Sus scrofa: one gene and its partners. The protein of the gene in region 4 interacts with the protein of the main gene of each other region in a pairwise test. Links are inferred from orthologs where the notes say so. Each region holds a gene or a part of one and is shown on either strand. Other genes may lie near its edges. The genes, in order: MRRF, BAG5, DMRT3, TRIM27, EHHADH, CWF19L2 and KANSL1.

What was found.
Region 1: the proteins of TRIM27 (region 4) and MRRF interact in a two-hybrid assay, tested with the Homo sapiens proteins (2 studies listed by IntAct). The link is inferred for Sus scrofa from reciprocal best matches to the Homo sapiens genes TRIM27 and MRRF.
Region 2: the proteins of TRIM27 (region 4) and BAG5 interact in binary tests that used the Homo sapiens proteins (3 or more experiments, as listed by UniProt). The two-hybrid records come from large-scale screens. The link is inferred for Sus scrofa from reciprocal best matches to the Homo sapiens genes TRIM27 and BAG5.
Region 3: the proteins of TRIM27 (region 4) and DMRT3 interact in binary tests that used the Homo sapiens proteins (3 or more experiments, as listed by UniProt). The two-hybrid records come from large-scale screens. The link is inferred for Sus scrofa from reciprocal best matches to the Homo sapiens genes TRIM27 and DMRT3.
Region 5: the proteins of TRIM27 (region 4) and EHHADH interact in binary tests that used the Homo sapiens proteins (3 or more experiments, as listed by UniProt). The two-hybrid records come from large-scale screens. The link is inferred for Sus scrofa from reciprocal best matches to the Homo sapiens genes TRIM27 and EHHADH.
Region 6: the proteins of TRIM27 (region 4) and CWF19L2 interact in binary tests that used the Homo sapiens proteins (3 or more experiments, as listed by UniProt). The two-hybrid records come from large-scale screens. The link is inferred for Sus scrofa from reciprocal best matches to the Homo sapiens genes TRIM27 and CWF19L2.
Region 7: the proteins of TRIM27 (region 4) and KANSL1 interact in binary tests that used the Homo sapiens proteins (3 or more experiments, as listed by UniProt). The two-hybrid records come from large-scale screens. The link is inferred for Sus scrofa from reciprocal best matches to the Homo sapiens genes TRIM27 and KANSL1.

What each region holds. Positions count from the first base shown.
Region 1 is NC_010443.5:262,354,404-262,359,249, reverse strand, and holds the start of MRRF (ribosome-recycling factor, mitochondrial), read right to left. Parts: upstream 3,257-4,846; 5' UTR 3,135-3,256; coding exon of another isoform or gene 3,103-3,134; 5' UTR 2,913-3,102; intron 1-2,912. UniProt on the Homo sapiens protein: Responsible for the disassembly of ribosomes from messenger RNA at the termination of mitochondrial protein biosynthesis. Acts in collaboration with GFM2. Promotes mitochondrial ribosome recycling by dissolution of intersubunit contacts.
Region 2 is NW_018084979.1:2,106,875-2,111,610, reverse strand, and holds the start of BAG5 (BAG family molecular chaperone regulator 5), read left to right. Parts: upstream 1-1,474; 5' UTR 1,475-1,792; intron 1,793-1,810; exon of another isoform or gene 1,811-2,284; intron 2,285-3,265; 5' UTR 3,266-3,293; coding exon 3,294-4,637; 3' UTR 4,638-4,736. Other genes in the region: APOPT1 (apoptogenic protein 1, mitochondrial), read right to left, coding at 1,284-1,406. UniProt on the Homo sapiens protein: Co-chaperone for HSP/HSP70 proteins. It functions as a nucleotide-exchange factor promoting the release of ADP from HSP70, thereby activating HSP70-mediated protein refolding.
Region 3 is NC_010443.5:220,818,808-220,821,897, reverse strand, and holds the end of DMRT3 (doublesex- and mab-3-related transcription factor 3), read left to right. Parts: intron 1-376; coding exon 377-1,341; 3' UTR 1,342-2,373; downstream 2,374-3,090. UniProt on the Homo sapiens protein: Probable transcription factor that plays a role in configuring the spinal circuits controlling stride in vertebrates.
Region 4 is NW_018084804.1:138,007-142,538, forward strand, and holds the start of TRIM27 (zinc finger protein RFP), read left to right. Parts: upstream 1-1,262; 5' UTR 1,263-1,644; coding exon 1,645-2,064; intron 2,065-3,218; coding exon 3,219-3,314; intron 3,315-4,532. UniProt on the Homo sapiens protein: E3 ubiquitin-protein ligase that mediates ubiquitination of various substrates and thereby plays a role in diffent processes including proliferation, innate immunity, apoptosis, immune response or autophagy.
Region 5 is NC_010455.5:123,151,929-123,155,990, reverse strand, and holds part of EHHADH (peroxisomal bifunctional enzyme), read left to right. Parts: intron 1-2,362; coding exon 2,363-2,535; intron 2,536-4,062. UniProt on the Homo sapiens protein: Peroxisomal trifunctional enzyme possessing 2-enoyl-CoA hydratase, 3-hydroxyacyl-CoA dehydrogenase, and delta 3, delta 2-enoyl-CoA isomerase activities. Catalyzes two of the four reactions of the long chain fatty acids peroxisomal beta-oxidation pathway.
Region 6 is NC_010451.4:35,982,768-35,986,829, reverse strand, and holds part of CWF19L2 (CWF19-like protein 2), read left to right. Parts: intron 1-390; coding exon 391-546; intron 547-3,415; coding exon 3,416-3,496; intron 3,497-4,062.
Region 7 is NC_010454.4:17,089,800-17,093,861, forward strand, and holds part of KANSL1 (KAT8 regulatory NSL complex subunit 1), read left to right. Parts: intron 1-2,944; coding exon 2,945-3,066; intron 3,067-3,646; coding exon 3,647-3,704; intron 3,705-3,893; coding exon 3,894-4,006; intron 4,007-4,062. UniProt on the Homo sapiens protein: Non-catalytic component of the NSL histone acetyltransferase complex, a multiprotein complex that mediates histone H4 acetylation at 'Lys-5'- and 'Lys-8' (H4K5ac and H4K8ac) at transcription start sites and promotes transcription initiation.

The DNA of each region.
Region 1 (4,846 bases), on a different chromosome or scaffold from region 4:
ACTCAAAAAATAAATAAATAAATAAATAAAGTAGCTGGAAGTAGCGGACCTTTGGATGCAATCTTGAACTGGAATCTGTGTTAGCCCATTTCCTAGCTGTGTGACCTTGGGGAGATGATAGGCCTCTCTGAGCTACAGTTTCCACATCTTTCTCATGGAGATATTAATAAACCTTTAAAAATACAATGATTAAAAAAAAAAAAAAGGGAGTTCCCGTCGTGGCGCAGTGGTTAGCGAATCCGACTAGGAACCATGAGGTTTCGGGTTCGGTCCCTGCCCTTGCTCAGTGGGTTAACGATCCGGCGCTGCCGTGAGCTGTGGTGTAGGTCGCAGACTCGGCTCGGATCCTGCGTTGCTGTGGCTCTGGCGTGGGCCGGGGGCTACAGCTCCGATTCGACCCCTAGCCTGGGAACCTCCCTATGCCGTGGGAGCGGCCCAAAGAAATAGCAAAAAGACAAAAAAGAAAAAAAGAAAAAAATAAAAAAAAATAAAAATACAATGATAATAATAGTGAAATTATAGCTTATAATTATACACTGATAACTATGAGCCAGAAAGAATTCTAAGTGCTATATTACATACATGAACTCATTTGAGCCTCATGATAAGCCTAGGAGATAAGTACTATTATTATAATCCAGTTTATGGATAAAGAAACAGAGGCACGGATAAATCCTTTGCCCAAGATTTTATTTCAAGCAATTTTGTTCCAGAATCTGTTCTCTTAACCACTATCCTATACTGTGTATATAAAACAGTATGGTTGCTGGCACTGTTATTCAAACTACTGAAATATTTTTAAAAATTACAGAAGTACATAATCTCTATCTAAAGTTGAGGTTCTCAAAACTTGAATTTTCCTTGTGGTTTTTTGTTTTTGTCTTTTTAGGGCTGCACCCACAGCATGTGGAGGTTCCCAGGCTAGGAGTTGTCAAATCGGAGCTATAGCTGTTGGCCTACGCCACAGCCACAGCAACGCAGGATCTGAGCCGAGTCTATGACCTACCCCAGAGCTCATGGCAACGCCAGATCCTCAACCCACTGATCAAGGCCAGGGATCAAACCTGCGTCCTCATGGATGCTAGTCAGATTCATTTCCGCTAAGCCACGACGGGAACTCCAAACTGTCCTGTTTTTCATAGAAGGCACATTTTAATGTTGTAAAGAACTAGATGAGGAAAACACACGTCCTGGCTCATCCACTACGCCAGCAACCCCTACCAATCCAGTCGTGTATTAGCTTATAATACGCTAATAATACACACAGACCCTTGCTGTACATAAAATACTTTCATATGTATTACCTGATTCCCACAATAACCAGGGTTATGATTACCACCCACATTTTACAAAGAAGCAAACTGATCTTCCATTTCCGTGAATACTCCTCCTGCTTCAGGGCCTTCAAACATACTGTTGCATCTGCTTGCAAAGGTCTTCCCACACCTCTTTAATGAACAACCTCACATTTTCCTTTCAGACTGCAGCTTAAACATCACTTCCTCAGAGGAAGCCTTCCTTGGCTGCCTCCTCTAGCCCAACAAGTCAAATGTCCTATAGCCCACTTTCATAACACCCTGTACTTTTTCATGGCACTTTAACAATATCAGCTAATATTTGTGCAGTTATTTGATCATGGTCTAATTCCCCCCATAAGACTATAAGCACCACAAGGACTAATGTATGCTTGTCTTGTTCATGGCTGTGTCTCCAGTCTCCAGCACATTCCTGAACACAGAAGACTCTGAATAAATGTGATGAAAGATGAGTGAAAGTCTAGAAAGGTTAAGTCCTTCCTCAAGGTCACAATGCTGGCACCAGAACTGAAATCTAAGCCCCGGACAGTAGGTCCTGGGCTCTGTTTCCCAAAACTGCTTCCAGTGTCTCTTGGTTGACAGATTTTTCACTTAGAGATAATAAGGCATATTATTCTCTAAATTCGGTGCCTTGTGAGGGCATTTATAGTATCTGACTATATATAAGATCACATCCCTGGCACAGCTAAAGGAAGGATAAGACACTTTAACAGATGGAGAAAGAGCCTTTGCCTAAGAGCTAGGAGGCCTGGATTCCGATATTCCTATCTCATCACTCCTGCCAACTATCCTTTTTAGATTCATAACTACTCTGTATTCAAAAAGTATTTGTGAAAGCTCTGCCGCTGACGACTTATATCAAGTCATTTCTTCTGAGGTTGTTTCCTCAACTATAACACGAAGAGTCAGACCAGACTTTCATTCTTTCTAGCTATAGAGCCTTCAAGATTCTGAGAATGCAATAGAGTGGGGTGAGTGGAAAAAAGCATCCAACTCAGAGAAGACCTGGGAAAGAATGCTGGTTCCAGCACTTCCTGGGTATGTGACCTTACATAGGTCAAACTCTCTTGGCCTCAGTCTCATCTGCAGATGACAATACGACTTGTTAGGGTTACCGGGACGATCGAATGAGATAAGAGCTGCAGAAGCACTTTACCAATATAGAAGGGCTACTGAAATGACTGTTTTGTCACTGGACGGCACAGAGTAATGTTGGAATTGAGTCCCCTCACTCACTAGCCGCGTGACCGTGATGAAATTACTCGTTCGAGCTTCCGTTTCTCCATCATGGGGAGAAACCTCCCACGGGATTGTTCAGAAAATTAAATGTTCCTGCCAGGTAGCGGGCAACTAAGTACCTGATACTATTTAGTAACCTAAGCCTCCCATCCTGGAAGTTCCTAGCTGATGCGATTAGCCCCGCCCCCAACCCGTGAGACTCTCGGATCTACCAGTCCCGCCCCCATCTGTAAAGGTCAAGCCGGATTCCAACGGAATGCATCGGGAACGGTGTTCCGGGCCCTAACAGTCCCCTGAGAAGTCCCTGAGCAGAAGTCTCTGGCGCGCGAGCCTCAAGACTATACCGAGGACACTCACCAGCTAGCTCCCAGGGTACTAGGAAGACTCGCGCGACCGCGGCGACGGAGGCGGCGCGGGCGTCGTGACGTCACGGGGCGGTGCGGCGGCGCAGGCGTAGTGCGTCAAGGGCGGCCTGGCAGCTGGCGGCGTTGAGGTGGACGGGTGTAGAGGGCCGTGGGACCGCGGAGACGGGACCTGCTTTGGGGGCATGAGCCGAGGAGAGGACTCCGAAGTCACGAGGTGAGTCCGGCCACAACGCGCCTCTACCCTTTAGCGCCGGCCCGACAAGGAGTTCCCAGCGGAGGCTCCCCCAGTGAGACGGCTCCTCAGACCCCGCCCCGGATCGTCCCGCCGCTGGCCCGGAAATATCAATCCGAGTAATGACCCCTCGCAGCTGGGAATTCGCGGCCAGGGATCGGGAAGCCGGGATTCAAGCCTTGACCCCACCATTACCATTAGCTTTTTAAGAAGAAGCGCCTTTGCTTCTCTGCACTTCAGTTTTCCCAAATGACTGTTCTTGGCTTCCAGGGTAGTTATAGCTCAGCTGGGCGGGGGCGGGATGGGGGAAGGCTAAAAAGCGTTTTGTGAACTGTGAATCTGAAGGGTTGTCGCCATTGCAAACCCAAGAATTTTGAGATAGTTGCATGCCATCTTAATCACTTATCACACTTTACCATTTCTCAAAAAGCTCTGTGCCAACTTATCAAATGTATTGCCATATTTTAGCCTCATAACAACTCGAGATAAGGATAATAATGCCCATATCAAGGAAGAAGAAAAAACGGAAGCTCCAAGTGGGGAAATGGCTTGCCTGCTTCATTCATTCGTTCATTCACTAAACTTTGAGCACCAGCCAGGAGCCAGTGTACTAAGTGCGGGGATGGGGAGGGGGATAGAATCATCAAAATAATCAAGACCCTGCTCAGTAGTAGCTTACTTTCTCATATCTTACTTTCTAGTGAGGGAAACGAAAGATAAAACAACGTATAAGGCATTGAACTGGTATTGAGTGGAAAGAAAAAGTGCCTGTGATAGAGACTAACAAGATGCCCTTACTCTGTTAAGGGAAAGCTTTTCTAGGGCTAGAGGACACTTGAGGGGAGATCACGACTTGAGTCACAAAATAATAAATCCTGGGTGCAAAAGCCAGTATTTGAGTGCCTGTCTTTTGGCCCCATACCCTGTACTCTTTCCCCTTAAAATGATTCACTTGTGTGGTATTAAGTACTTGTTGGTATTATTTATTGCTGTTTTTAGACATGAGAGAGTCAGAAGGGTCTACATTCAAGTCTCGTCTCAAATGTCATTTCCCTTAGAGGGCTTTCCACTCATTCTGAAGTAGTCCAGCCCCAATCTCCTTGTCAGATCTCCTTGCTTAACTACGTTTGCAGCACTGATCACAAATTACGCCTTGTATATTTATTTTGCATTTGTTTTGTCCTGCCCCTTTTCTAAATATGTGTATCCAGAAGGCAGAAACCTTGCTTGTTCACTGCTCTGTCCCCAGGACCTAGACGATGCCTGGAAAATACAGGCTTTTTTGAATGAATGGTCTGTAAGAAAGTAGAAGGAAAGGAAATCCAGGAGAAGACAAAATGTTTCTCCTCCCCCAACCTCCATGCCTGGGATTCTAGTCATGCCTATTTCTCCTTTCTCCCAGGAAGTAAAAGCAAGAACTGTGGCTTATTCATTTCTCTTTTTCAGCAGCTGGTAGCTGCTTTTCACACATTACAGAACAGATTGAACATGTGAGAGAGGAAGAAGAACGCCCTTGTGTGTTGGAGGGGTAGATAAACACATTTAACAAACAATATCTAGGGGCTACTGTGTGCTAGACTGTAGAGGCTGTGCTGAGGTGAATAAGAGATAACGCCAGCATTCAGTATGGCAGCTGTTGTTATTAAGACGCAGTTCCTACAGCAGTGATCTCAAAGGCACTTCTGGTCTTATAG
Region 2 (4,736 bases), on a different chromosome or scaffold from region 4:
TGGAGGTTCCCAGGCCCGGAGTCGAATTGGAGCTGTAGCTGCCGGCCTATGCCAGAGCCACAGCAACTCGGAACCGGAACCTGAGCCACGTCTGCAACCTACACCACAGCTCACGGCAACACAGGATCCTTAACCCACTGAGCAAGGGCAGGGATGGAACCTGCAATCTCATGGTTCCTAGTCGGATTCTTTAACCACTGAGCCACCATGGGAACTCCATCGTTTAAACATTTTATCTGCAGCCCATTCCACACCCTTGGTCCACATTTTCATGTGACTGTTGGTATCAAAGTTTAGGACTCCCTTAAACAAAACGTCATTCCCCAAAGCAGTGCAATTTATAAAAACTGCTACAGATATTAATCGTTATGGCTCTTCAGTCACAGATATACATATATGCACACGGTTTCCAAACCAAATGAACAAAAACATTCAACGTGAAGTCCTACAAAACAGTACGCCATCACTTGAAGAAAAGCGTTACTAATCATAAAGACGACACACACACGTGCTGCGCATGTCAAGAGCTCTTTACATGTAAAAGCCAGTTATCCTCGACAGAAAGACGGTACGTATAAACTTTTTTTTTTTTGTCTTTTCTAGGGCCGCACCCGCAGCACATGGAGGTTCCCAGGCTAGGGGTTTAATCGGGGCTGTAGCCACCAGCCTACGCCAGAGCCACAGCCACGCGGGATCCGAGCGGCATCTGCGACCTACACCACAGCTCATGGCAACGCCGGATCCTTAACCCACTGAGCAAGGCCAGGGATCGAACCCGCCACCTCTTGGTTCCCCGTCGGATTCGTTAACCACTGCGCCACGACGGGAACTCCCCGGTACGTATAAACTTGCTGGCCGGCTATGCTATTCTTTTATTCATTTATTTATTTTTTTACTTTTATTTTCTTTCCGCTGTACAGCATGGGGACCAAATTACTCTTACATGTATACATTTTTTCCCCCACCCTTTGTTCTGTTGCACGGCTATGCTATTCTTAAAGTTCTTTCAACAGCCCCGGGACGGCGGCGGCACCCTCAGTCCCACCTCCACAAGGGGATTGACGCAGGAAACTGGGGGGCTCCAGGGCTTCCCCGCGCTCCACTCGCCTGTCCCGCAAAGCCCGTGCCGGCTCCGGGTCCCCACGCCGGGGGGCTCAGCCGACACCGCAAGTGGCGCGTCGCAGGTGTGAGGGTCCCACAGGGGTCCCTGAGGGGTGCGGCCCGGGTCTGCCGCCCCTTGCGGTCACTCCTCCCGGCCCAACTTTTCCGGGAACCCCACTTACGCGGCTGGGCGCTGCATCCCTGCGCTCAGCGCTGCGCTCGGGGGCGAGCTGACAGCCACGGCCTGAAAAGGCGCGGCGGAGAGGAAGGAGGACCGTCTTGCTTCCGGGCCGCCAGGGCGCCATGGTCGCCGTCCGTCGGCCCGCGCGGCGCACGGCGGAGTCGCGACGGCGCTAGGGGCTGCCTTACGGCACGGTCGCAAAGCCCGAGGACGGGGACAGCGCGGCCGATCGTGCTCTTTCCCCGCGTGTGACCGGCTGCGAGGACGGCCGTCGGCTCGGGCGCGGCCGGGTGGCCGCCTGCTCCTGGGGCTCAGCCGTTCCAGGCTGACTCGCCAGACGGCCAGCGGCGGGCTTGGTCAGGGTCGGGGTGGGCGCGGAAGCCGGAAGACCTTTTCCCAGGGCGAGGGGCTGTTCGGCCCGGGGGCGGAGCTGCCGGGCCCAGGCGACGGCGGGAGCTGCGGCGGCGCGGGGCGTCGGCGGCGGAGTGCGCGATGGCGCGGGCGGCGCAGGTGAGCGAGAACCAGGCGGCGGCAGCCTTCCCTCGGCGCGGGCAGCAGGCGGGCGACCCCCGACTCGGCGCCCTTCCCCGTTGTGGCCGGGCCGGAGTGGGCGCCGCCCCAGCCCTGGGTCCGACGCGGGCCGGCCCTGGTTTCCGAGCCGGGCTCCCCGCAGCCGGCCCGGCCCGAGCCCCCTCCCTCCTCGCCGGCTCCCAGGCCCGGCCGAGCGCGGCCGCCCCCTCCCCCGAGGGCCATTGTGAGGTCAGGGCGGGCGGGTGCGTCGTGGGGTCCGGGCGAGACGCCCGGAGCGGCCGCTGCGGCCAGTAGCTGCCGCTGCCACTGCCGGCCCCTTCACCGGCTGCCCCGTTCAGATCTAGCCGGGAGGGGTGAGAGGGATGCAGCTGGGGGCCCAGCTCCGGAGCCGCACCCCGTAAAGGGCTGATCTTCCATCTCGCCACTTCACCCACGGGAAGCCAAGACCAAACCAGCTTAGACCTCTTCTGGGTAAAGTGCTGGGAGGGAAGGGCGGGCAGGGAAGGGAAGAATCGAGGCCGCCTGCTCTCCCTGGGCCTCCAGAGGCGTGTTCTCGGCTCGGACACCCAGAAGGGATTGGTTTCACTTGAGTACCCGGCCCCCTCCAAAGAGCTGATCGATAGAAACCCAGGAGCATGAAAAAAGTGCGTTGAGCCATTCTGGATTCCTAATGTGAGGCTAGTGAATGGATTGCTCAGAGTTGTCACATGCTTGTGCGATGTATTTCGGAGAAGGGGCAGGAGCATGATGGGGCCTGGGGAGGTACTAGGCCTCCAGAGCCCAGGGTGGTGCTTTGACAGTCCCAGTCGCCTTTCCCGTGGAGCCCTATGCCACTGTAGAGGAGATGTTAGAAGGGCTCAAAGGATGGAGAGGACGGTAGAAGCGGGGACTTGGGCGGTGTCTGCGAACCACTGGTGTTTGTTTCAGTGGCTCGGTTCCTTTTGTTTACTTTTTCCGGAAATTAGTCATAGCTCTTTGTAATGGGGTGAGAGGAGGGCCCTGCTTAGACGTACTGACCTGGAAGGTTAGCAGAGCTACCACAAAGGTGCCCTGCCGCGCCAAAAAAAACAGCTTCCAGTTTTAAGACCTCAGATACCTGCACCTTTTCCAAAATGTTCAGCTTCATGCCATACTTATGATGGCATATGTTGTTTGTTCTCTCTTACAACTGAGGAAACTTGAAGTTCACAGGCCCAGAGCTCCGGCTCCTATTTCCACTCGGCAGTAGCCCTGGTCTCAACCTCGGTGCAGCTGTTTAGCTGTTTTCATGAGAGGGAATTGATGAGTCGCTCTGATTTCTGTGCTTGGATTTCTTCTCCTTTGGACTGCAGTAGCCAGCCTTTTTTTTCGAGCCTGTCTTTTTAGAATGAGAACTGTAGAATGAATTGAATATGTGATTACCATGCTGCAGGCTTTGTAGTGTAATGAGTTATCGTTTTTGCCATCTTTTAGTGCTTGTGAAACTGAACACAACCAAAGTATGGCGATGGGAAACCAGCATCCTTCTATAAGTCGGCTCCAGGAGATCCAAAAGGAGGTAAAAAGCATAGAACAGCAAGTAACTGCTTTCAGTGGCCTGTCAGACGACAAGACGTACAAGAAACTGGAGAGGATTCTAACGAAACAACTCTTTGAAATAGACTCTGTAGATACGGAAGGCAAGGGAGATATTCAGCAAGCGCGGAAGAGGGCGGCCCAGGAGACGGAGCGTCTTCTCAAAGAGCTGGAGCAGAATGCAAACCACCCCCACCGGCTCGAGATCCAGCACATTTTCCAAGAAGCACAGTCCCTGGTGAAAGAGAAGATCGTGCCCTTTCACAGCGGCGGCAGCTGTGTGACGGAGGAGTTTGAAGAGGGCATCCAGGACGTCATCCTGCGGCTGACGCGCGTCAAGACGGGCGGCCGGACCTCCTTGCGGAAGGCGCGGTATCACACCCTAACCAAGGTCTGCGCCGTGCAGGAGATCATCGAGGACTGCGGGAGAAAGCCGCCCTCGCTGCCGCTCTCCGCCGACGCGCACCCCTCGGTGGCCAAGATCAACTCCGTGATGTGTGACGTGAACCGGGCCCGAGGCACGCTGATCGCCCTCCTGATGGGCGTGAGCAGTGACGAGACCTGCAGGCACCTGTCGTGTGTGCTCTCGGGGCTGATGGCGGATCTGGACGCTTTGGATGTGTGCGGGCACACGGAAATCAGGAACTATCGGAAGGAGGTGGTGGAGGATATCAACAAGCTGCTGAAGTACTTGGACTTGGAGGAGGAGGCAGATACCACTTACGCCTTCGACCTGGGCCAGAACCACTCCATTCTAAAGATAGAGAAGGTCCTCACGCGAGTGAGAGAAATAAAAAACGAGCTCCTCCGAGCCCAGAATCCCGCCGAGCTGTACCTGAGCTCCAAAACGGAACTGCAGGGCTTGATCGGTCAGCTGGACGAGGTCAGTCTTGAGAAGAACCCCTGCATCCGGGAAGCCAGGAGACGGGCGGTGGTTGAGGTGCAGACTCTCATCACCTACGTGGACCTGAGGGAGGCCCTGGAGAAGAGACGGGCCCTGGCCAGCGCGGAGCACCCCTCGCTCGCGGCCGTCTGGACCATCCTGGGGCACTTGTCAGAGATCCAGGAGGAGGTGCTCGCCTTCGACGGCAACCGAACCGATAAGAACTACATCCGGCTGGAGGAGCTGCTCACCAAGCAGCTGCTGGCGCTGGACGCCGTCGACCCCCAGGGGGAGGAGAAGTGCAAGGCTGCCCGGAAGCAGGCGGTGAAGCTGGCCCAGAACATTCTCAGCTATCTGGACCAGAAGTCTGACGAGTGGGAGTACTGAAACGCCGGGGCCACGGTGGTGTTTCTCGCTGTGCACTTCACAGAGACCTCTGTGTGTTCGTGGAGGGCGTTTGGTGCGTCGAGGCTACATGTGACTTTT
Region 3 (3,090 bases), on a different chromosome or scaffold from region 4:
CTTATTTGCAGAAGAGGAGCCTGAGTTCATTTTCTTGTGTTTATCTCCAGCCTGGTCCCTGTTTAGACTGTTCCTGCTAGATTGCCACATCTTCTACGGTTGTAGGTATCGTGTTGCTCTTCTGTGTTGAAAGCCAGCTTCCCCACACACACCATTTTGAGAAATCACTTCAATTTCTAGATCTTTATGTACAGAGTTCTTTTTGTTTTTATTTTTTGCCATTTGCCAATCACATAGTTGGGATTTTTAAAGGCTGGCAGTATGTTATAAGCCGCTTCCCCTTTTAAAAAGCCGGCGTAGGACCCTCTCTTGAGCACATCTGTTCTTCTTTATGCACACCAGGAAAGGATTAACCCAGCTGCTCTGTGCTTTTCAGATCTGGCTGAAGAACGGCTTGGGGACAGCAGCACCACCGACAACACAGAGACCTTCAGCGACAAAGACACGGACCAGAGGAGCTCCCCGGATGTGGCCAAAAGTAAGGGCTGCTTCACCCCTGAGAGCCCTGAGATCGTGTCAGTGGATGAAGGCGGGTACGCGGCCCAGAAGAACGGAGGCAGCTCCGAGAGCCGCCCTGACAGCCCCAAGTATCCAGGGGAGCAGAACCACCTCCTGATCGAGGGCCCCTCGGGGACCGTCTCACTGCCCTTCAGCCTGAAAGCCAACAGGCCGCCTCTGGAAGTGTTAAAGAAGATATTTCCCAACCAGAAGCCCACGGTGCTGGAGCTGATCCTCAAGGGCTGTGGCGGCGACCTGGTGAGCGCCGTGGAGGTCCTCCTCTCCAGCCGCTCCTCCGGCTCGGCCGCAGAGCGAACTTCAGCAGAGCCCGAGGGCCTGGTGTTACCCTCCAATGGGCACATCTTCGAGCACACGCTGAGCTCCTACCCCATCTCCTCCTCCAAGTGGTCCGTGGGCTCGGCCTTCAGGGTCCCAGACACGTTGAGGTTTTCCGCGGACTCTAGTAACGTGGTCCCCAACCCCTTGGCGGTGCCCCTGCAACACCCCTTCCCCCAGCCGCCCCGGTACCCTCTGATGCTGAGGAATACTTTGGCGAGAAACCAGTCGAGCCCCTTTCTGCCCAACGATGTCACCCTGTGGAACACCATGACGCTGCAGCAGCAGTACCAGCTGAGGTCCCAGTATGTCAGCCCTTTCCCCACCAACTCAGCCAGCGTCTTCAGAAGCTCACCTGTCCTCCCTGCCCGTGCCCCAGAAGACCCTAGGATTTCCATCCCTGAGGATGGGTGTCCCATTGTGTCAAAGCAGTCCATTTACACCGAGGACGACTATGATGAGAGGTCTGACTCCTCAGACTCTAGAATACTCAACACATCATCTTAGAAGTGGCGCCTGATGGGTGGTGACCAGGTGACATTTTCTGTGCATTTGAACCCCGGGCTCCCCCTTGAGGAGGGCCCACATCCTGTGTATACCTTTTCCTTCTGTTTGACAAAGTGACTGTGCTTGATTCTATACCTTAGCAATAAAAACATAACTTATTTAATTTCTTGCACTTCACTGGAAAATGCCAAATAGCTCTGCTCTGTGGCTTTAGTGCTGAATGTTCATTGTAAAAGAGAGTCTAATGCTAAGAATAGGCGAGAAAGCCTTGGGCCCATGGAAGATTTATTTGGGGATGTAAAGCTGAAGGTCAGCCTTGCTCCTAAACTCAATCTGGAATGTTCAATAAAATAGTATACTTGAATGCAATTTTGTAAAGGAGGATTCCTCAGGATATGTGAAACCTCAAGGAAGTGGTTCAGTTGCAAACAGACTATAAACAGGGACCTTATATTCATGTGCTAAATATTCTTCTTGCATTTTAAAGAGAAACTGCATTTAATAGAGTGAACTGCTCTCATGCTTATTTAAGCTTGGACAGTTTTCAGAGACAAACTCCATTAAGAATTATTCTTTTCACATGGCTGAATCGAAACATGTGTTATGTCAATGTAAAACCAATCACAGCTGTGAACTGCATGAACTGTATTGTGAAATGAACACAAGATTAAGCTTTGTCAGGTTAATGTAGCATGCTAAGGAGCCTAGGAAAAAAATAAACTAAGGAGATGATCTTGGTTTATGTCATTTCTGTTTGTTGAAAGAGGATGTCTAAAATAGAAACTTGATATAAAAGCTGCTTTCTAATGCATGGATCAAGGTTTCCGTTGAATGCGACATTCCTCGAGAAAAATGAATGGCAAAGTTTTGGGGACTGCATTCAGAAAGATAGAATGTATTGTTCAAGAATAGAGATAACTCAGCTATCCATCCATTTGTTTGTTTCTTCAAAAGATACTTATCGAGAGCCTACTATGTGTAAGACAAGGCTCTTTGTCTGCTATTGACCAAGTTACCTGCCCATGAGTTGAAGATGGCAGGGATTACATGATGGAGAATCTCATTAAAAACAAAGTAAAAATGAAACAATCTGCAGTGTGGGAAGTAAGCACAGTGCTTAGCATGGTACCCAACATAGAGACAGCACTCAATCAACGAGAGCAGTTCCTCCTATTCAGTTCAATATATTCTGCTATTTGCCGTCAGGATGCAGAAGTGAATTTCCTCATTCTCAGTTGGAGAAGATGCCATTGCAGTTTAGGAGGTGACTGCAACAAACCATTGGAAACAGGGCTTTTCCCCTTCATTTAAAAAAGCATTTCAGGGGGAGGACACTAATATGGCAAACCTCTTGCTCAGATATTTTTATTTTATTTATTTCATTTGTTTTTATTCACTTTTTTGCTCAGGTATTTTTAAAAGTGAGTTTTAATAATGTGCAGTGGTGTTCCCACCAACCATTTCTTACTGTTTCCACTCTCCTGAGTGCTTGAGAAGAAAGATGACTGCTCAGGTCAGACAATAAACTTATGAACGTGGAAGGGAAAGTAAATAAGAAAATAAATAAAAGCCTCTACATGACAAGGATGCAGAGAGAGCTCCCAGGGCAAGAATAAGTCTCCAAATGTTCTTCAGTCTGGGAGGGAGAAGGGTAGATCCTCTTGGCCTGAGATGCTTCCTCGGCAGGGGATAGGGGCTGATGTCAGCTGCCCCTCGGCCTTGCCTGGGTCCCAGGAGAAAAACAGGTAT
Region 4 (4,532 bases):
ATGTAAGGGAAAGATAATATTTCAAAATAGGAGACCCTCACTCTATGGAAACCTGAGATTATTCAACATATTTTAGCATATGTTACCACCCTTCGGCTGATTTGAATGAACACCAAGGCAGTCCTAGTTTGACGTCATAGGGTCAAATACTCTCCTACCCAATACAAAGGAGGAGCTAGTGATGTGAGCCTGAGGTCTACCTGAAGGATGAGGAAGAAGGTGGTCTTCTCCTACTCCCCACTTTCCTTGGATGACAAAAATGTAGCCCACCGAATTCTTGGAGAAAAGCCTCCTCACCTGCCTCCTCACAAGCATCTTGTATCTTAATAAATCTATTTCTTGCCCATCACTTTGCCTCTCAATGAATTCCTTCCTTCTGCCCTGAGGCACAAAGAACCTGAGCCTCAGTAAGTCCAGACACCAGGGGAGTGATTCTAATTAAAAAACTGTGGGTTCAAGTCCCAATCTGGGTTTAGCCTGGGTTTGAGTCGGAGGTGTTTTGGTTTCAAGTGTTCTACACAAGGCAAAGTTAAAGAAAGTCTAGATAGAAAATAACCAAGTACTAGAATTTCAGGTTCTACGTGAACATGGGAAGCCTGCTGGTAAAGAGAGAGTGATGTCGCCAGCTTGTTTGGGTTAGGAGTAGGCCTTGTAGAGGGCTGCAGAGAGTATAGCTTGAGCCAGAGGCAGAGAGGGAACTGAAGCTCAGAATGGTAAACCATTCTGCTTAGGACAGTAGGAAGTAGCAGAACTGGGCTTGTCTGTTTCTGTTACAACAATCTTGCCTTCTGATAATTAAGCCTTTCTTTTCCGAAACAAAATTGCGACTGCCTGTTAATGGGGTTGTTAGACAAAGCTTCTCACAGACTGGGTGGGGCTCAGTGGGCTACCCCCCACCCCTCCGGCCTCCCAAGGAGGCCAGATGTCTCCTCTTCCCACGCCAACACAAAGCTAGCTTTCTCTCGCCGTTGCTGAGGCCTGGGCACCAGGCAGGAAGCCCAATAAAGGACTAGGGGGCTAGGCCCAGGGCCACGGAAACTCGAGTGGGCCTGGCGCGTGCAGGCAGGGGCTACCCTGTCTCCGTCGCGCCCCGCGGACACCGCCTGCCTCGGTTACCTGCTCCTGAGGCTCCCCGCCCGGTCAGCCCCAGGGCAGCGGGCAAGGCCTCCCAGGTCCTAGGAGGGGAAAACTGCCCAGCCCTCAGGCCAGAAAATCGTGCGGCGCCGGGTGGCTCGGGCCAAGCCCCGCCCCCGCCCCGCCTCTTCCGCTCGCGCCGGGGTGGGGTCTGTGCGGCCGCCGGGACCCGCTGGGACAAGGCCACGTTGTCTCGCGCCTTCCTAGCGCCCGGCTCCTGGAGTCCGACTGGCGCAGCCTCTGGTTCGCGACCCCCTGGCGTAGCTGTCGGGCTTCGTGGGGCCGAAGTACCCCCACGTCATTCGGCTGGGCCCCGCGGCCCGACCACCCCCGGTTCCAACGCGCGGGCGCGTCTGGGATCAGGGCCCGGGAGGCGCCGCCCTCCGTCAGCCGGGCTCGCCTCCCCGCGCCGCCCCGAAGCAGCGAACGGGAGGGAAGAGCCGTAGAGTTGGGCTCCTCGCAGGGCTGGGCTCAAGGGCCCATGCCCGTGCGCCCCCGCGGGCCCGCGCCATGGCCTCCGGGAGCGTGGCCGAGTGCTTACAGCAGGAGACCACCTGCCCCGTGTGTCTGCAGTACTTTGTCGAGCCCATGATGCTGGACTGCGGCCACAACATCTGTTGCGCCTGCCTCGCCCGCTGCTGGGGCGCGGCGGAGACCAATGTGTCGTGCCCGCAGTGCCGGGAGACCTTCCCGCAGCGGCACATGCGGCCCAACCGGCACCTGGCCAACGTGACCCAGCTGGTGAAACAGTTGCGCACCGAGCGGCCGTCGGGGCCGGGAGGCGAGATGGGCGTGTGCGAGAAACACCGCGAGCCCCTGAAGCTGTACTGCGAGGAGGACCAGATGCCCATCTGCGTGGTGTGCGACCGCTCCCGCGAGCACCGCGGCCACAGCGTGCTGCCGCTCGAGGAGGCGGTGGAGGGCTTCAAGGTGAGGGCCGGGCGCGCGGGCCGGGGAGGGGCTGGAGCGCGAGTCGGACAAAGGGAGTAGAGAGCCAAAGGGGCTTCCTTTTTTCCGCCTAGAAAATGGCTGAGCCGGACGTGTGGTTCACAGCCGTCATTTCCTCTCTGTCTGCTCCAGAGCCTCGGCACTCAGATTTGGGAGGAAAACCTGTAGCTGGTGAGGAAGCCAGAAGTCTCCCCACCCCCACTCTTCTTTCCTTATGTGCCCCTCTGTTTCCCCGCTCACCGGCACGGCCCATGGAGACCCCCTTCCCTTGACTGTACAAAAGGAATGCGTAAAACCATGTACGCATCTGCAAGCTTCAGAGACACTCTTACTCCTGATGGCTCCTAGATGATCTCAGACACGACACAGTCGGACGTTAACTGGCTGTATACACATCTAGCAGATGGCCATCACCTCTCCTTTCCCCACCACTTCCCTATGCTCCATCTTCTTCTAGAAGCTCACGGAAAAATGAGCTCCTTACTGCTTAAGTCAGTTAACCACCGTGAGACTCAAAGGAGGTAACACAGTTATGAAGATTGAGTGAAGTGAGCTGATGTGTGGATCCCTTTGTAAACTCATGAAACAGCAGACGGGCGCAGCTAAACAGTAACATGGAAACAAAGTATTAAATATAAAACAGTTGTAAGGCAACATTCAAGGAGTGCATGATCTGTGTGTTTGAGGACTGCAGGAACATGTACATGTTTGACTGTGAGTACATTCATGCAAAATTATTCACTTAACATTTATAATGCTTTCACATCATTTTACTCACCCTGGTGATAACCCTCCAGGAGGCTGAGAAAGCGGTGTTTGCCCATGTCAATAAGAAAATAAGAGCTGTTAAATCTTCTCAGTATGCGACTGTGAAAGAGCGACAACTCAAAGCCACCTAGTCCAGTCACCTTTCCACTAAGCCGTGGAGTATCCTTACCCACCATTTAAGATACAAACTACCAAAAGAGAAGTGTGGTGACCTCTGTGCCCTGGTGACGGCAGTGTAGTCCAAGGACGGACTCTAACCAGGGACTTGGCATCAGAAATGTGGGTTGCACATGTGATAAGCAGAGTAGCCATATTGATGCTAAGGTCTGCCTAATCTTGAACTGCCCAACTGTTTTTGCTTTTCTCAGGAGCAAATCCAGAACCAGCTGGACCATCTAAAAAGAGTGAAAGACTTAAAGAAGAGGCGTCGGGCACAGGGGGAGCAGGCACGAGCTGAACTCTTGGTAAGACTCGATACACAGATAATGTCAGTTCTGCTGGTCACTCTTTTTTTTTTTTTGCAAGGCTTGTGCAGTCAGGTCATCCAGGTTTGGGTGGAACAAGCTTACATAGCAGGTGAGAATTCACCTGGAAAACCAAGAAATTACTACATTTTGGAGGAAAGGTGGGAATAGCTGAGTTTAAAACCCCTGGAGATAAATTTAATCCTCTAGCTTTGTGTAGACCATGATTGATCCTTGACAAAGCTGATACAGGTGAAATTCTTGGGTGGTTAGCCTCCTTTGGTACCATTCTGCAGACAGATGGTTTTCCATGAGCCCGACAGTTAACTTCTTGCTAGAAAGTTCCTTTTCTTGGCAATGTTTCAGTTCTAAACTTTTCACTTTGTTTCCTTCCCCTATCATCTCAAGGCCTTAGCAAGTGGCTGATGTGCTAATTTGTGATAGGGATGTTTGGGGGTTTTGTTCTGAAAAACGAGACAAAAATATGAAGATTTTTATAATATATACTTATATGTCCAGCACCTAGGTGTTTTCAGTATCTTTTTGAACAATAAATAAAATATTACAAATTCTCACTCATTAGAAGTATTTGCATCTGAAAAGCAAAGTCTTAGACTAGTAGTGTCTGGCACCATCTTGTGAGAAATTTTGTCAGTCCCGGACAGGGTATAGTAAAGAATTTTTGGATTTACTATACCAAAAATAGTATAATGAAACTTACTCTCACGATGCCATAAAATCCCATCACTTGTTTTGCACACAAAATCCACTGAGACGTCAGCTCCCCTGCTTGAAAATAGATCTGATGGGTGGAGAATCTTCTGGTAAACTTGAGTGGACTCAAATAATTAAGCATACAAATCAAGGTTATTTGAGGACCATTGTAGACATTTTGGCTGTGTGCTCCAGATCATCCTCCATGGGGCACACGTCAGACCATGTGACTTCCCTGCTAGTCTTTCATGGCTCCCAGTTGCTGTTAAGTCCTTGCCCTTTAGCTTGCCAGGCTTCAGGGCTCTTACCTTTTTCTAGCCTCTTCCCCAGCACTTATGTGCTCCAGCCATACACAACCATTTTCCTCCCCTTCCCACTCATTAGATTTGCCCATGCCATCTCTTCTGCCTGGAAGGCTCTCCTGCTCTTTGACCACATGGCAAACTTCTATTCCTCTTACAAGAATCTTCTTGAACATTGCTTCTGTGAAGACTGTGTCAGCTT
Region 5 (4,062 bases), on a different chromosome or scaffold from region 4:
TGAAAATAGTAATATTTTTAAACACTTTATAGTTTAATCCTCAGTAAATCCTATAATTTCCATCTGCAGATAAGAGACTGAGCCTAAGATAGATTAAATAATGTGTCAAACATTAACCAGCTATTAAATGGCTTACTCAACTGTTTGAAGACTTGAGTTTGGGAGACAAGATGGTGCTTTGAGGCATGGAGTAAGGGATCAGAAGTATGAAAAGTCAGAATTGATATTTCTTTGTGGGAAAGGAGGTAGGAGAGAATGCAGTTAGGTTCAGAGGCAAAAACAATAATTGTCCTAGAAAAGCATTAGGGATTATCAGACTTAACTTAATGGACTTATATGGAACAATGCGCCAGACATTTGGAAAATATATATTCTTCTCAAATTTGCAACATTTACAAAAATTGATCAGGTACTGGATCATGAAAGCTTATCTCAAGAATTTCATTTAGAATGTGTTCTCTGACCATAATGCAGTCAAGCTATAAATCAATAACAAACTAACTAGAGATTCTCAAGTGTTTGGAAAATAAATCCATTTCTTAATAACCTCTGAGTCAAAGCAGAAATCAATGCAGTTTAGAAACTATTTTGAACTGAATGATAATAAAAACAGCTTGAGGAATACAAGCTCAAGCTTAGCAGGAAATTTATAGCCTTAAAGATATACATCAGAAAACAAAAAAAAGCAACCATATTGTGGTAAGCATCTATATCAAGGAACTGTCAGAACAGTAAAATAGATCCAAATGAATTAGAAGGAAGGAAGTAGTAGAAGAGAAATTACTAAAATAGAAAACAAATGTGAATCAAGAGAATAAAAATGTCAGAAGTTCTTTGAAAAGACTAATAAAACTGATAAAGCTTCAGTTAGACTTATCAAGAAAAAACAAGAAGGTACAAACAATACGCATAAAGAATGACAGATATCACTGCAGATGCTCTGGCCATTAAAAAAGATAATAGGAACAAGTAGAAAAACACAGCTTATAAAATTGACTCAAGAAAAAATAGGAAATCGTTAAAGAAATTGAATCAGTTTTCAGAAATCTTACAAAGTAAATTCAAGTCCCAGATGACTTAATTGGTAACCTTTAACTGAAAAGTCAAGGAAAATATTATTCTAATTTTACAGGAACGTTTCAGAGAATAAAAATAAGAGTTTTACTTCCTATATGAGTTTCCTGGGGCTGCCATAACAAATGAGCAGAAACTGAGTGACTTAAAACAACAGAAACATATTCTCTCAGAGTTCCATAGGCTAGAAGTTCAAAATCGAGATATCTGCAAGGCCAGTCTTCCTCCAAAATCTCTAGGGAAGAATCATTCCTTGCCTTTTACAGAGTCCTATGTCTGAACTAGTCACTTAACCTGAAAGCCTTAAATTTCCCTACCTGTAAAATGGAAACTGTTATACTACTTAACAATGTTAAGAAAATTAAATAAGGCAGTATATAAATCTACTTAGCACAGTGCCTGATATATAGTATTTATCTAATAAATGTTAATTGCTACTATTACATGAAAAACTATCTTGGGAGTTCCTGTGGTGGCACAGTGGAAACTAACCCAACTAGTATCCATCAGGATGCCAGTTTGATCCCTGGCTTTGCTCGGGATTTCCTTTTTTTTTTTTTTTTTTTTTGTCTTTTCTTGGGCCGCTTCCTGCGGCATATGGAGGTTCCCAGGCTAGGGGTCTAATTGGAGCTGTAGCCGCCGGCCTGTGCCACAGCCACAGCAACGCAGGATCCGAGCCATGTCTGTGACCTATACCACAGCTCACAGCAACGCCAGATCCTTAACCCACTGAGCAAGGCCAGGGATCGAACCCACAACCTCGTGGTTTCTAGTCGGATTTGTTTCCACACTGCCACGATGGGAACTCCTGCTCAGGATTTCTGATAAAGATTTGAGGATTTTCTCTCATGTCATTCAACATTTTCCAGGCTATTTGTTCCTTTACTGTGTCTGCAGCCAAGGATGAAGTGTTTCATGGGTCCAAAGAGGTTTGAGATTCCTTAAGAGTTATCTGAGGAGTTCCTGTTGTGGCTCAGCAGATTAAGAGCCCAACTAGTATCCATGAGGATATGGGTTCGATCCCTGGCCTTGTTCAGTGGGTTAAGGATCTGATGTTGCCATGAGCTATGGTGTAGGTTGCAGATGCAGCTCGGATCCCATGTTACTGTGGCTGTGTTGTAGGCTGGCAGCTGAGCTCTAATTTGACCCCTAGCCTGGAAATTCCCATATGTCACTGGTACAGCCCTAACAAAAGGGGGAAAAAAAAGAGTTATCTGGTTACTTTTTGTTTTATAGCAAAGCCCAAGTCTTCCTCTACTGTCTTTTTTCCTTGTCTTTGTATTCTTAGGTGCCGATATCCATGGCTTCAGCGCTCATAAAACCTCTGACTTAACACTGGGAGATATAGTAGATAAAATACAGAGATATGAGAAGCCTGTGGTGGCTGCTATCCAAGGCTTGGCTTTAGGAGGAGGACTGGAGCTGGCCCTGGGCTGTCACTATAGGATTGCCCATGCAGAGGTAACAGAGGGGATCTATAGGGGATTTGGTGGTGGGGCTTTTATTTAGGGCAAGCTCTAAATGTAGTCCTAAGCATCAGAGATGTTAATTTTAAAGGGTTGGCTTATTGGTTGACAACTCTTAGGTATTTCTAGCACTGGTATTAGCTATTTTGTACCAATACATTAGTAGTAGTTGTTGAAAGGTTGAAAATATCCATTTTATTTGATAAATAGCTGATACCCTGAGCCCATGACTGTCCTTCCACTTCCCCTAACCCCAGCTCTTGGACCTCCCCATGACCCACCAACTAAAGCGGAACTCCTGTTCAGACAGGACCTGTAGAATCCTGCTCTGTTACTGTGGCTCACATGTCAGATTTCACTGAGCCATGCTCATGCAGTATGAAGTATTAAATATTTTGACTGTCACCCCTGAGTATGCATACTTATTTAAATTTTCATTTCCTATCACAAACATTTCAGTTTTGTGGTCTCATAATTATTAGTACCTAAGACAAACTCCCATTGGAAATAGCACACAACTAGTAAATCCATTTATTTCTGGAAATAGATTTAATTTGGATTATTAGACATGTAGATTGAAGTTTGTGATTCCAGTCTTACAAGAGTATTTTTTTTTTTTTTTTGTCTTTTTATGGCTGCACCTTTGGCACATGGAGGTTCCCAGGCTAGGGATCGAATTGGAGCTGTAGCCATCAGCCTATGCCACAGCCACAGCAATGCCAGATCCGAGCCACGTCTCTAGCCTACACCACAGCTCATGGCAATGCCAGATCGTTAACCCAGTGAGCGAGGCCAAGGATCGAACCACATCCTCACGGATACTAGTCAGATTTGTTTCCACTGAGCCACGATGTGAATTCCAGTAATATTTTTGTAAATAATTCTTTTTTCTTTTTAGAGCCACACTGTAGCACATGGAAGTTCCCGGGTTAGGGGTCAAATGGGAGCTGCAGCTACAGGCCTATACCACAGCCATAGCAACACCAGATCTGAGCCTCAACTGTGACCTATGCTACAGCTTGCAGCAACGCCGGATCCTTACCCTGTTGAACAAGGCCAGGAATCAAACCCACATCCTCATACTATTTGGGTTCTTAACCCACTGAGTCACAATGGGGACTCCTATATTTTTCTAGTAATAAATATAATATTCATCATTGTAATAAATTATAAAAAATATGCATAAAAGTATGAAGATGTAAACTAAAGTCACCATAAACTCACAGTTCAGAAATAACCACTGTTAACATTCTGTTTTATTTCCTTCTGGTCTTTTTCCTGGGTAATATCTTTTTCTTACAGTTTTGTTTTTCTTTGCAACCTTTTAATTAAAAAACCCCCAATATTTGGAATTTTATTCTCCTTCATTTGAACTCTATTTTTATACTAATAGCATGTTTAAAGTGTTATTAAATAGTCTTTATCCATTCTGCCAATATCTGCTATTTACATTTAACATAATTATTTATAGTTGCCATTTTGCAATTTATTTTCTGTACCTTCTTTTTTTGTTATTCCTCAA
Region 6 (4,062 bases), on a different chromosome or scaffold from region 4:
TATGGCAGATAGCATCCAAGGAGTAATCAGGCTCTTTCCATGACAAGGTTCTCCTATGGTGGAGTTCTTCCTTTTCAGCCCCTGGGATGGAAGAAAATGGATGCGAGAAGGCACACTACCTCTTAGTAACTACTTTAGCATGCAAGTGACATATATCATTTCCATGTACATAATACTGTGCAGATTGATTTGCAGTTTAACAAAGTGTTGCTTAACTGTGTGAAATTATGTAGTAGATTTAGAAAGTAAAGTAACTGTAAGGCAGTGTTACAGACTTGACATTGTTTACTATTTTTTTATTTTAAAGGAGTTTATTATACTTTTTATCGTTTCATATTTTGAATCACCTCTCAGTGCTTTATATTTACCGAGCCATTTTCTTTTCTTCAGATGTTCAGAAAATCTTTGGTAAAGATGTTCACAGATAAAGGATTGGACTGTATCTTTTTAGAAACTAATATGAGCATGAAAAAACAATATCATATGGTTTATGAATGCATTCCTCTCCCAAAGGAAGTGGGTGACATGGCTCCCATCTATTTTAAGGTATTCATAGATAGTCTTTACGTGCATAATTATTTTTTGCCATGATACTGTTTTATGAATACAGTTATCTTTATTCTGATGTCTTCTCCTGTATACTTAGATATATATCATATAAAGAAATGAAGTAAAGTACAAAAAATTCTTTTATATACATTTCTGTAGAAAGAAATTTGGGATTTGACCTTCAAAAAGCATGCTTTTTTATGAGTATGAATATACCATCAAATGGTAATTTTTAATTTCTATTTTAATTTCTCACTTCTCAAATGAAAAATCAAAATTTTTCTTTGACGTACTTTCAGGTCCAAATTAGTGATACTCTAGAAGATTTATCATTAAAATTCATAAGAGCCGAAGATGGTTATATGCAAACCGTACAAATAACAATTGCCAAGACAAGTTATTGATACATATTTTAGTATTTAATACCTCATCATGCTGTTTATAAAAAGAAATTAAAACCTAAACTTGACATGTGCTTTTGGACATGTAATAAATGACCAGAGTTCTTAAATCAATGTCGTTACTGACCTGAGTGCAGTATAGTTTATAGACTAATATAAATTTGTAAATGGAGAACCATATATGAAATAGTAACGTACAATTAAAAAAAGATAATGTTTTGTGAGGTGGTATAAGAACTTGCAAATGCAACATTTTGACAGTATAGATGATAAAGTTTAATTAATATGGACTGTAATTCCCGATAAAAAGTACTATAAAACCTGTTAAGGTTGATGAGGTGGTGAAAATCTACTTTTCCTATAGAAATTTTTAAAAAGAATTTGATTACTTAGTTTGAAGTCATGTTATTAACATAGGGAAGAACCAGCCAGGGAATCCCAAAACCCATGCCAGTCTTATGTTAAACAAAATCAGTTGACAAATAGATTATGCTTTTCTTCAGTGCTTGGGTTTTTTCCCCTTGTACTTCCTCAGTAGAGTCTTAGGTGACTGTGACTGTAGGCATGGAGCTATAGGGCACATCATAGGCCAACTACTCTTTTTTCTTTCTTTTTTTTTTTTGCCATTTCTTGGGTCGCTCCTGCGGCATATGGAGGTCCTCAGGCTAGGGGTAGCCGCCAGCCTACGCCAGAGCCACAGCAACGCGGGATCCGAGCCACATCTGTGACCTACACCACAGCTCATGGCAACGCCAGATCGTTAACCCACTGAGCAAGGGCAGGGATCGAACCCACAACCTCATGGTTCCTAGTCGTTTTTATTAACCACTGTGCCACAACGGGAACTCCAACTACTCTTTTTTCATGCTGGGGTGACTGAAATCTCATTTCTTAGCAGAATGGCATGTCACTTTTCTCCTCTATAATAAACCCTTTGTGTGATCATTAAAGATGTATTTATTTGATTTGGCTTCAATTTTATATTGAATGTGCCATTTTATAGTGTAAACCCAAGCAACCTAAATCTTTTAAAAAGGGAAGAACATATACCTGATCCAGTTAATTTTTGTTTTTTTATGGCTGCACCCACAGCCTATGGAGGTTCCCAATCCAGGGATTGATTCTAAGCTGCAATTGAGACTTAAACTGCAGCTGTGGCAATGCTGGATCCTTTAACTCACTGTGCCAGGCTGGGGATCAACCTTTACCTCAGGTTTGAGCCATGGGTGGGAGCTCCCAATATATTTAAATTGTGCTTATCTGGGTGTTAATTTCACCTCTTTTTTTTTTTTTTTTTTTTTGCCTTTTTGCCTTTTTGCCTTTTCTAGAGCTGCTCCCGAGGCATATGGAGGTTCCCAGGCTAGGGGTCAAATCGGAGCTGTAGCCGAGGGCCTACGCCAGAGCCACAGCAACGCGGGATCCGAGCTGCGTCTGTGACCTACACCACAGCTCATGGCAACTCCAGATACTTAACCCACCGAGCAAGGCCGGGGATCAAACCCGAAGCCTCATAGTTCCTAGTCGGATTCGTTAACCATCAAGCCACGACGGGAACTCCAATTTCACCTTTTAAATTTGCTTCATTAATAATGATACTGTATAAAAATGAGATTATTTTATATGCAGCACCCTGGTTTTCTTATTTCTTTTTCTTTTCTTTCTTTTTTTTTTTTTTTTTTGGCTTTTTAGGGCTACACCTGAGGCATATTGAAGTTCCCAGGCTAGGGGTCCAGTCGGAGCTACCGCTGCTGGCCTATACCACAGCCACAGCAATGTAGGATCCCAGCCACATCTCTGACCTACACTATAGCCCACAGCAATGCTGGATCCTCAACCCACAGAGTGAGGCCAGGGATGGAACCTAGTCAGGTTCATTACTGCTGAGCCAAATGGAAACTCCAGGCTTTCCTTTTATTAATATTTCTTTACCATAAATACTAGCCACATTGCTTAGCTTAGAAAGTCTTATAATTCCACTTCTATGTATTTTTTTCTCTGGCATTTTTATGCCTTTTTTATATGGTCGGAAATAGTTCAAGTATTTTGTTGCCAGAAAGCACGTAAGTTATTCTTATATTCAGAAGAAGAACAGTTAAACAAAATTAATTTATTTGAGTAGATGTCTGTGATTGAAGTAAGGAATCTGTGAAATTTTATGTTCACAAATTATGTTCAATTTTAATTGCTTGGTTTTACTAAGGATTGTTTTTGTCATGCAAAGGTGATCTCAAGTTAGTATAAGGGTTATTAAAAATGAGTAAAATAGTATAATCTTGGATAAAGATAGGACCTATAAGAAATCAAGAAATTCCCATTTTAAGTAACAGAAATTAAAGCCTTCATTCAAAATAATGACCTAACGTGTATTATACCACATAATTAATTCACTGTATTAATTTATTTTTAAACTGTCTCTTTGCATTTACTTGTATATTATTCTTTACTAACGAATGACTATTTCTTAGAAAGCCATAATGGAATCTGATGAAGAGTGGTCTATGAACAAGAAATTGATTGATCTCTCTTCAAAAGATATCAGAAAGTCTGTAAGTATTTTTTTTTAATATAAGAAATTAGCCTAGTGTTTAGGATCTTTGTAACTTTCAAAACTTATTTGGGAAAAAGGTCATTTGGCTGATTGACCAAACATGAACTAAGTAGAATTCTACAAATAAGGAAGAAATTATTTTCATCCTACTTGTTGTAGCAAATCTTTATTTGTTTAATTGCTTATTTGAATGTTTATTCCTGATTTTTTAGCTCTGGGATAGTATAGTCTCTTTACTTGGCTATGACATTCATCAGCCTCTGCCATTAAAGCTCCTTCACATGGGAGTTTCAGCCTCTGTGGGACAAGTGAGTAGAGAGGGACCTTCTTGTTACTGAAATTATAATGAGAGAAACATTTTCCTACAGACTCTCTTTTGAACTTGGAACTCTTTTGTCTCTCTCGCTCTCTCTTTTCTTTTTTTTTTTTTTTTTTTTTTTTTGTCTATTTGTCTTTTTAGGGCTGCACCTGCCACAGCATATGGAGGTTCCTGGGCTAGGGGTCCAATTGGAGCTGTAGCTGCCAGCCTATGCCACAGCCACAGCAACGCCAGATCCGAGCCAC
Region 7 (4,062 bases), on a different chromosome or scaffold from region 4:
AAGCTGTCTGACCTCCATCTGCTTTTGCAGCACCACACTCCACCCTGTAAGCTGTTCGCACGACCGTTCTAGACGCATGTTCATGTTCTTATGCCTCCTTGAGCACATATACCTGTTGCTGCTTTGTGCCCGTTAAGAGGGTCCTTTATATAGCAGTCCTCATCGTAACAGCCAAAGGCTCCTACTATAGTGCTTATTGTGTCAGTGCTAAGTTATTTTAGATGCGTTACTTCATTCAGTCCTGTAATGCCCTTTGACATGTAGGTGGTATAAAAGATTCCCATTTTGTTGGCAGGGAAACGGAGACTTGCCAAGGTTAAGTGAATTGCCTGAGGCAAGGCAAGTTGTGAGGGTTACAGTTGTGACTCCGACCCAGGCAGTCTGACTGCAGAGCCAGCTCTTGTACCTGACCATCGTGCTACACAGTGAGAGCCTGGGTTGGGGCACTGCAGAGGTGACTTATGCTGGTGCTCACTAAGCTCCTATTGCATATTGTTCTGACTCTTAAATGATCTCGTTTCTCCCCCCTTTCACCTCGCACACTATAGGTTTTATCTCAATAGATGTGTAGAATCTGTCACACATTCAGTTGTCCATTGGCAGGGAGTCTTGGAAAATGAAAGGATTTTAAAGAGACTTATTATAGAGGCTCGGCAGGTTAGGGATCTGGCGTTGTCACTGCTGTGGTTCAGGTTCGATCTCTGGTCCTGAGTGTCCTCATGCTGCAGACACAGCTCCCCTCCTCCCACCCAAAAAAGGGGGGGCGCTTATCCTGATAGAAGATATTCTCTAATTTCTAGGACTTGGTGAGACTTCACTTTTTTTTTTAACCTGCCAGCACTCATGTGTCTGGCAAATGTAAACTTAGGCCTGGATCGTTTAAAATTTTTACTTATTTAATGCATACAAATTTTGTATATAGCACTATGCTGACCCTTAAGGCTCTTACTGACAAATTTCTTCAAAAGAATCTGGATTTATTTAATAGCAAGAAGAGGGACAGACCAGATAGTTAATAAGAGAAGCTACAAGACACTGGAGAAATGGCAGGGGAAGGGAGGGATGGGGGCATATGTGGTAGTGCTTCAGCAAAAGCCACAAAAGCTGATGGATGCATCCGAATCACCTCTGTGTGCCGCTGCCACCCCCCTGCCCCTTATTTGGAAGCCCTGAATATTCTGATTTGATAGTTAGAAAGGAGGGGACCCTGGAAGGTTTTTTGTGTGTGTTTTGTTGTTGTTGTTTTAATTTATTCTTCCTCTTGCTTCTGATGTGTAGCTAGGTTTGGGCACCACTTTGCATTCTCATCACCTGCCTTCCACCTGTGGCTCTAAACAGGAGAAAGTAGTTAGTTACGTTAGACCAAATGAGTACCTGGTGGAACTGGGGCATCTAAGTGTGGGGTGGAGGCTGGAGCCTGTTGAACCTCACAACCCACACCTGTCTCTTTGCCTTGAAGGTACTAAGAGCAGGCCCAAGAAGATTCAGGGAAAATACATAGCTGTTTCTGCCAGCAGTTTCACATTCATTCTCGACCAAAATATAGGGAAAGTGTCTCTTGAGGCTTCCTTAAGGTACACTTCCTATAGTGGGACGCATGTGTTCAGCAGAGATGAGGCAGTGGCAAAGGCCTTGGGGTATGAGGTCACTGAGCTTCAGCTGCAGAACTCAGCCAGGCAAGACATCAGCCGTTTTGGTTAACCAGTTACCTTAAATTTGTGCAGTCAGCATCAGTCTGTTCTTGCTGATAGAGGAAGAAACTGAGGTGGAAAAGACATTGTTTTAACCTGAAATCATAGGTGACAGCAACTAAAATCCTGGCTCAGGAAAGCCTGCCTTTCAGCATTCTCTGAGAAGGCCCTGCAGTGATAGGATGGACCAGTCATGGATGCCCCTCCAGGAACAGGGAGTAGACAGCTTAGTTGTGGGGAACAGCCTCTTTCTCATCTTCCCTCACTAACCCCTTGCCTCTGGGCTGATCCCTGTTGGTGGTTTGGGTTTGAATACAGCCTCTTAGGTGTTCACAGCTGTACTGTTGCCATGGCAGCATGTTTGTCATCCCCACTATTTCCCTCTGGCCCCTCTCAGCTCAATTGTCAGTCCCTATTGTAGGGCAGGGTGTTTGCTATCAAGGCACAAGGCCGCTCATGGACTTGTCCCTCCATCTAAGAAACCATGCCCTTCGGCTCCTTGCTTTATTCCTCCTGATCTCCCAGCTGCTGCAGATGCCCACCTCCTCCTCTGATACTGGCTGGATCTTCGTTAGTCTTCTTTCCTGAGTTTGATCTTAACTTCCTACAGGGACGAATCTCCTTTCTCTAGGAGTGTGAGCTGTATAGCCCGGTCCTCTTCATCCATTCCCTCCACTCATCTCCATTGATATAGTTAGAAAGCTCCCAGCTCTTTCCCCAAGAATAATAGCCAGGAAGAGGAAATCACGTAATAAGGGCTGGGTACAGATTCAGCTGAAGAGTTCAGACCCACGAGAAGGAGGTGCTTTCATGACAACCAAGGTTAGATGATCCATTGAGCTGGGCCTGTCCTTTGGGCGTCTTTCAGGATAAGGGAATTCTTTTTAACCTCAAGAGTCACCACGAGGCTTCAGCATTGCTTTTAGGGGCCATCATGGGTCTACATCATGGACAGGAATGAAGGGGGAACAGAAAGGATTTAGTCGGGGAGGGAGTAAAAAGGCGTGTGTGGAGGAGCAGAAATGGAGCAGCTGCCTGGAGGAGGAGGGTGGCCAGTAAGACTGGGGCAGGAGCTGCTCCTCAGGACCACCTGGTATTTTTCCTGAGCACTTTGCTGTGGGGGATCATCTCCTAGGGATTCTGCCGTGGTCGTCCCTACTGGGGTTATTGCGATCCTGTTTGGAATCTCACACGTATGATTTGATGTTTGTGGAACTGTTCCTCCCTTTTAAACGTAACCTTTGTCTTCACAGCAGCCAGTGAGGAGGAGAAGGGGCGAGAGCTCATTCGATATTAACAACATCGTCATCCCAATGTCTGTGGCTGCAACGACCCGTGTAGAGAAGCTGCAGTACAAGGAGATCCTGACTCCCAGGTAGGGGTCCTGGATGATCAGCTCTTCCCCTGGTCTTCCTCTTAGTACCTCTTCCTCTCTTCTTGTCGCTGAGCTTGGGGCCCTCACCTTGGCTTCTGTCTTCTCCTTGAGAGAAGGTCCACCTGATTAGAGTGAAATTATTTCTGTAGATAATTCTCTCCCATTATATGAGCACCAGCCAGACCTCAGGCCACAAACTGGCTATGGTCATGTTTTGTTTGACATATACAAGTGTCTTTTAAAATACGGAATTTGTCGTCAGCATCAAAGCAAGGTTTCACATATGAGTCTTTATTTCCAGCTTTTGTTGTCAGATTCAAAGATTGGGCAGCCCTGTATGTGCATTCCCCTATGGGAGCATCAGCTGGACCCCTCAGCTTCCCAGCTCTCATCTCACCCTCGGCCTGCTGCCCCTGTTCGTGGGCATTTGAGTGTGGAGCCTCTTGTAGAGGCCTCCAGGGCTGAGAAGGCCCAGCATAGAGGGGTGTCACTTGCAGGCGGAGGGCTCTCACTCTTACACAAATGTATCCTGCCCCAAACTGCCTGCCACCTCACGGTTGTCCCTTTCTGGTTTTTGCAGCTGGCGGGAGGTCGATCTTCGGTCTCTGAAGGGGAGTCCTGATGAGGAGAACGAGGAGGTAAGGGTGTGGTCCTTCCCTCTGGGAGGAGCACACACTGCAGATGCCTCAGGACCTGTGGCATCAAGTGCAAGCTCACTGTATTCCTGCTGTGACCAGGAAGAGCCTGCTGTGGGGTGGGGCGGCTTCTAGAATTGACCTACCCACACTTCTGGAGGAAAGAGGGGCTCAATGAATGCTCTTTTGCAGATCGAGGACCTTTCTGACGCAGCCTTTGCCGCCCTGCATGCCAAATGTGAGGAGATGGAGAGGGCTCGGTGGCTGTGGACCACGAGTGTGCCACCCCAGCGGCGGGGCAGCAGGTGATGGGGCAGGCACAGGCCCCTAGGACCTGTGGAGGGAGGGTCAACAGGGAGTT